2 linked regions of the Saccharomyces cerevisiae S288C genome follow. The gene in region 1 interacts genetically with each later gene. Each region holds a gene or a part of one and is shown in the gene's direction. Other genes may lie near its edges.

Region 1 (3,092 bases):
AGACCACACCGATAATAAGGGCAATAGCTTGTTGCATGTTTTGAAAACAAACATTCCAATCCTTTTACAACTGACTAAGCTAGATATTAATGAGGAAAATTATAAGGGATTGACGCCATTAATGGTATATGTGAAGTACAAAAGACTAAGTAATATTGACGCCATCACGAAAGACCGTCGACTTATATTAGAGAAGGTTCAAAACTCGACCTTCTTCACTTGTTTTGATTATGCAAAAGATCACTCGGTACTAAGCAAGATAGGAGAAAGGGGTGTCAAAGATTCACTTTTTGGATTAATATATTTTCATTCTTTGCGATATCATAATTTAAATGCGACAACAAATATAACATCCGTTTCAAATGCAGAGAAACCTTTCGCCACTACTGTTATTAACATGAAAACAATTCAAGGCTTACTACGCTCAATTCTGAAAGACAATCCGTTCACCTTTTTGCCATTAAATACCTATATCGATGAAATATCGCACTTAAACCGTTCTGATTTAACAATAATCGGGAAAACAGATGTCACATCGTTACTTCACCAATTAACTAACTGCTTCAACGTTCTTTTATTCCTGAAAAAAATTCCAGAAAATTTGTTCACTGATGAGGCTTCTATCTTATATTGGATGCGCATAAACACTTCTAAAAGAAACCAGAAACCCTCAGGAAAAGAAAATCCAAAAACAATGGAACCCGAGGAGATTAATATGATACAAAGCTTTTTACGTTTTAATTTTGATGAGATTTCATCATTTAAGGCAAGCTTGAATATTTTGAGGAAAGTCTTAATATTTATTAATTTGAAATCCGATGATTTCGAGGATGCTTATAAGGGTCTTAACGAAATGGGTAGAAAATTAATTAATAGTGAAGCATCCAGCGCATTTAAGGGGATTATAACAAATCATAATATGTTCAGTGAATTATCGCTAGCAGCACTACTAGAAAACGTGCGTTTCTTGGAACAATGTACTATCCAACTATCTAGTTTCGTTCAGATAATTTTATTTGAAAAAATTCCGAACTGGTGGAAACATTATGGTGAGTTTTTAGCTTTACATAAAAGCTATCGGAAGGCTTTTCCTAACATGGTTAAGCCAAAAAGTGCATCAGATACCTCTAGTCGTGCTCCACTTGGTGGTTTTATTGAAACGAAGCGTGAACAATCGGAGCAAAGACTAGCGGTTCAGATAAAGGCCTCTTCAAAAATGCTCAAAGAACTTGGAAGCGAAATTTTTGTAGCTCACGAAAGGTTGGCCGAGGAACTAAGCAATTATATGGAGTTCAGGAAGGCGTGCTTAGATCAGCGTAGTCTTGTGGCATTTGCCACAACCAACATTAGCGTTCTTCAAGAATGTGTTTAAGATTGACTGAGCATTGCAATATTTTACCTTCTTCTCACTTGTTCTATAGAATTTTTTACCCAAAAATAAGAGATAAAGAGTTTGAAAGAAACATCATTACATATATATATATATACGGGCAGCTCCGTAACTCGAAAAGAGTGACAGCTGTTTTACTCTGTAATAGCTGACGATTCTTCAGTGATTGGAATAACCTCAGAACTCACCGGTACGGGTAACGTTTGTATCTCGCGGATTAACTTTTCGCATTTCGACCTACTGAGAGAAGAAGTTCCTTTTGTTAATCTGTACCTTTATCTTGAAAGCAGTCGTTACAGAGGAACAGCATTGGGAATCACCAACAAAATAAGAGGAATAAGCTCATCCAGTCCACTTCTTATCCATATAGAAACCCCTTCTGTATCAATTCAAATTAAGTGATGTCTTCTAGAAAAAAAAATATTTTGAAAGTAATCATCCTAGGTGACTCTGGTGTTGGGAAGACCTCCTTGATGCACCGTTATGTCAATGATAAGTATTCTCAACAGTATAAAGCAACAATTGGGGCTGACTTTTTAACAAAAGAGGTGACAGTTGACGGTGATAAAGTTGCCACCATGCAAGTTTGGGATACTGCTGGACAGGAACGTTTCCAATCACTGGGTGTTGCTTTCTATAGAGGTGCAGATTGTTGCGTTTTGGTCTACGATGTGACCAATGCCAGTTCCTTTGAGAATATTAAGTCTTGGCGAGATGAATTTCTAGTGCATGCGAACGTAAACTCACCAGAAACATTTCCATTTGTTATACTGGGAAATAAAATTGATGCCGAAGAATCTAAAAAAATTGTATCAGAAAAGTCCGCTCAGGAGCTTGCTAAATCATTAGGCGATATTCCTTTGTTTTTAACAAGTGCCAAAAACGCCATAAACGTTGATACCGCATTTGAAGAAATTGCAAGGAGTGCTTTACAACAGAATCAAGCTGATACAGAAGCCTTTGAAGATGACTATAATGATGCCATCAATATTCGCCTAGATGGAGAAAATAATTCTTGTAGCTGTTGAGCTGTACTACTTAATTGTATCTTCTATTATGTAATCCTTTATAGCGTATCCTTAAAAAAATTAATAATTTAAAACTACTAAATATATTTAGGGATGTGATGGCCCTTTCAATATGAGGCTTTCGATTACCATGTGCAATCTGTCTATGAACCTTAGTTAATTAACACAACTGTTAAATAAAGCGATTTACTACACTTGAGATAATATAACTCAACAAAACGTGACAAAAAATCACATGACTACCTAACAAAATATTTATTTTTCTTTTTTAATATTTGAAAATACTAAAATATTTTTGTTGTTTTTTGAAAAAAGGATTTTTAATGTGTATGCGTTCCGAACTTTAAATATAACGTCAGCGTAAAAATAATTTTTCTCCGAATGTATATCGAAATCTCAAATTGCTCTTAGAGATTTAGATTTCAACGACAGGATAAATTGGCTAGAGTTGAAAAAACTGCACAGAGTATATAAAAGATCTTGCAATGGATGATTAAAATTTACGGTATTTCATTTTTCCAATGAATGGCTTTTCTAAGAGAAATTAATTTCGCAATTTGTTGATGAGAAGTTCTGGCTACCTTAGTCACTATTTATTTTACTATGGCGGTATAAGTTTCTCCCGCCTTGAAAAAAGGAATACAGTAATAAAATGAATATAAATCAGGATTTTT
Region 2 (3,995 bases), 590 kb from region 1:
ATCCTTACCAGCGGCGACAGTGTTGGAAACACCTGAGGACCCGGAATACGAGAACCCAACGTTGACAGGCTGGTCAAGGAAGATCACGGTGGCATTGCTGTTCCAAGAGTAAGGGTTCCCGATGGGTTTCAAATCAGGTCCAATGGATGAGGGTCCTAATTCAAAGAACAGCCCGGTTAGTGAAGAACAACCTGGACCCCCGTTCAACCAAAGGATGACCGGATCCTTTGCAGGATCGTTTCTACTTTCAAAAGTCCAAAAGAAGAAATGCTTGTCCTCGTCTTCCACATCCAAGTAACCCGTGTACTGTGTGACATTTGGGTCAATGCCCAGGATTTTAGGGTCCTTAATCTTGTTGACACGAAGCTGATAGTTTTCAATTGCGTCATTCTTGACCACAAAGTCCCAGTCTTTCTTCGTTTTGATTGCTTCAGGGAATTTTGGCTTAGTGGAAGTTTCAAGGCTCATAACCTGGTTTGGGTACAAATGCTCTATTTGGGCCCAAGCGTCCAATACATTGGAGTCCAACTCCTTCAAGAGATGATCCAGGTCGAGGTCCAAACCAAATTTTTCCGCAGCTTGCAGCAAAACGTCCTTATCTAGACCCAACGGTCTTTGCAATGAGATGGCCTTAGCGAGTGTAGTGGACAGGCCTAGTCCACATAGTAAACTGGTGAATGCTTTCATAGCGTATGTATACTTTAAGTTGAGTAGAAAAGAAACAATCTCTAGTGAGTATTCTTTCTCTCTCTCTCTCTTGTCTTGTTAAGACTAGGAGGGAAGACGAAAAGAATTATTTCGGAGCTTTTTTGCTGGCATTCTTATCTCGTGCTTTTATTAGTGGGCCCCTTCTTTGAGACCCCGCGGGTGATATGGCCCCTGTCTCAATGATGGATAAAGTTGTTGGAAGCAATTACCAAGACAATCACAAACGAAGGTTGCTACCGAAGTGTACTGGATGACCAACATCGCTATGATTAAATAAGACTATACATAATAGACAAGGGTGGCGCGGCTCCATTCCCAGGGAGACACAAACACGAGGTAAGTCTCAAAAAACCGAAGTTTCGCTCTAAAACTGCACGTAAAGGTCGTGGTATTGACTACAACCATTGACTGTTACATTGTGTAGAAGAAAGGTCCTCACATACTGCTCTGTCAATATGGCTTCTTGTGCAGAAGGTCAATATGTACTATTTCCATGAACCCACAAAATAAGGGAAAAAAAACACTGGAAATAACCGCCACACATACCGTATAAAAGTACATCTCTTTATACGAGTTACTTACTAGACCCTAACCAATGCCTTCAAAAAACAGGACAGACCCTAAAAACTACCATAAGAGACCTAACATATGTATCATCATATACGGAAATCGATTTCGCGTATTTTTTTTTTTTTGAGGCGCCATGATTTCTTACACGGTTTCTTTTTTTTTTCCTTCTTTCCTTCTTGCTTCTCTGCTAACAAATTTTTCACTCATTCTTTTTTATAGGGGCATATTGCTGCGGTTAACTGTAGTGAACGAAAGTAAGATTGAGAAAATATAGTACTTAAGAAAAAGAAAAGGAAAAATAAAAAAAATTCTTTTCAACATCATCGAGTAGCACAGTATAAGAGCGCTCTAACCTTCTGCCTGGCCTCCAATATACACATTTTGCTCGTGTAGGGTTATTTATCCTTTTTTCTTCCTTCCCACCCAAAAAAAAAAAGCAATGGCACACATCCCAGAGGTTTTACCCAAATCAATACCGATTCCGGCATTTATTGTTACCACCTCATCGTACCTATGGTACTACTTCAATCTGGTGTTGACTCAAATCCCGGGAGGCCAATTCATCGTTTCGTACATCAAGAAATCGCATCATGACGATCCATACAGGACCACGGTTGAGATAGGGCTTATTTTATACGGGATCATCTATTACTTGTCCAAGCCACAACAGAAAAAGAGTCTTCAAGCACAGAAGCCCAACCTATCGCCCCAGGAGATTGACGCGCTAATTGAGGACTGGGAGCCCGAGCCTCTAGTCGACCCTTCTGCCACCGATGAGCAATCGTGGAGGGTGGCCAAAACACCCGTCACCATGGAAATGCCCATTCAGAACCATATTACTATCACCAGAAACAACCTGCAGGAGAAGTATACCAATGTTTTCAATTTGGCCTCGAACAACTTTTTGCAATTGTCCGCTACGGAGCCCGTGAAAGAAGTGGTCAAGACCACTATCAAGAATTACGGTGTGGGCGCCTGTGGTCCCGCCGGGTTCTACGGTAACCAGGACGTTCATTACACGTTGGAATATGATTTAGCACAGTTCTTTGGCACCCAAGGTTCCGTTCTGTACGGGCAAGACTTTTGTGCCGCACCCTCTGTTCTGCCTGCTTTCACAAAGCGTGGTGATGTTATCGTGGCAGACGACCAGGTGTCATTACCAGTGCAAAATGCTCTGCAACTAAGCAGATCCACAGTCTACTACTTCAACCACAACGATATGAATTCGCTAGAATGTTTATTAAACGAGTTGACCGAACAGGAGAAACTTGAGAAACTGCCCGCCATTCCAAGAAAATTTATCGTCACTGAGGGTATTTTCCACAACTCGGGCGATTTAGCTCCGTTGCCTGAGTTGACTAAGCTGAAGAACAAGTACAAGTTCAGACTATTTGTTGACGAAACCTTCTCCATTGGTGTTCTTGGCGCTACGGGCCGTGGGTTGTCAGAGCACTTCAACATGGATCGCGCAACTGCCATTGACATTACCGTTGGGTCCATGGCCACCGCGTTGGGGTCCACCGGTGGTTTTGTCCTGGGTGACAGTGTTATGTGTTTGCACCAGCGTATTGGTTCCAATGCATATTGTTTTTCTGCCTGTTTGCCGGCTTACACCGTCACATCCGTCTCCAAAGTCTTGAAATTGATGGACTCCAACAACGACGCCGTCCAGACGCTGCAAAAACTATCCAAATCTTTGCATGATTCCTTTGCATCTGACGACTCCTTGCGTTCATACGTAATCGTCACGTCCTCTCCAGTGTCTGCTGTCCTACATCTGCAACTGACTCCCGCATATAGGTCTCGCAAGTTCGGATACACCTGCGAACAGCTATTCGAAACCATGTCAGCTTTGCAAAAGAAGTCCCAGACAAACAAATTCATTGAGCCATACGAAGAGGAGGAAAAATTTCTGCAGTCCATAGTAGATCATGCTCTTATTAACTACAACGTTCTCATCACAAGAAACACTATTGTTTTAAAACAGGAGACGCTACCAATTGTCCCTAGCTTGAAAATCTGCTGTAACGCCGCCATGTCCCCAGAGGAACTCAAAAATGCTTGCGAAAGTGTCAAGCAGTCCATCCTTGCCTGTTGCCAAGAATCTAATAAATAAAAATAGAAAGCCAGTATATGCACACGCACATATATATATAAATATTTATACAATAATACAAATAATCGTAACATCATCTCTGTCAAATTGACGTGGTGCACGGCGCCCAGAGAATGCGCTAAAAATTTTCGGATCCGAAATTTTCTTTCCTTTTACCATCGAGGCAAAGCAACCTGTATTATTTATTTGTTTATTTATTAATAGAAAAGAAAGGAGTACTTTCGTGGTACGCTTTCTTGAGCATTTTCGGTTTCACTAGGCAGAGAACTAACACAAGAGACACAGCAAACATCAAACAAGGTTAAAACAGCACACCAAGGCAATATGATGCATTTTAGAAAGAAATCCAGTATCAGTAACACGAGTGATCATGACGGAGCGAACCGTGCCTCAGATGTCAAGATTTCTGAAGATGACAAGGCAAGATTGAAGATGCGTACTGCTTCCGTTGCTGATCCTATTCTAGACGCTGTGCAGGAAGCCCAACCTTTTGAACAAGCTGCTGATACCTTCCACGACAACATGAACAGACAATCTTATTTTTCCAACGAAGAAGGTCATGTTCTGTGTGATGTTTTCGGTCAACCCATCACACAGGCAG

What was found. A genetic interaction does not mean that the proteins touch.
Region 2: mutations in YPT7 (region 1) and LCB1 together harm fitness more than expected from each alone (negative genetic interaction), as found in Saccharomyces cerevisiae (2 studies listed by BioGRID).

The regions. Positions count from the first base shown.
Region 1 is NC_001145.3:265,383-268,474, forward strand, and holds YPT7 (Rab family GTPase YPT7), read left to right. Parts: upstream 1-1,791; coding exon 1,792-2,418; downstream 2,419-3,092. Other genes in the region: VRL1 (Vrl1p), read left to right, coding at 1-1,372. UniProt on the Saccharomyces cerevisiae protein: Ypt/Rab-type GTPases are key regulators of membrane trafficking and intracellular vesicular transport.
Region 2 is NC_001145.3:858,614-862,608, reverse strand, and holds LCB1 (serine C-palmitoyltransferase LCB1), read left to right. Parts: upstream 1-1,717; coding exon 1,718-3,394; downstream 3,395-3,995. Other genes in the region: carboxypeptidase C PRC1, read right to left, coding at 1-687; GSR1 (Gsr1p), read left to right, coding at 3,719-3,995. UniProt on the Saccharomyces cerevisiae protein: Component of serine palmitoyltransferase (SPT), which catalyzes the committed step in the synthesis of sphingolipids, the condensation of serine with palmitoyl CoA to form the long chain base 3-ketosphinganine.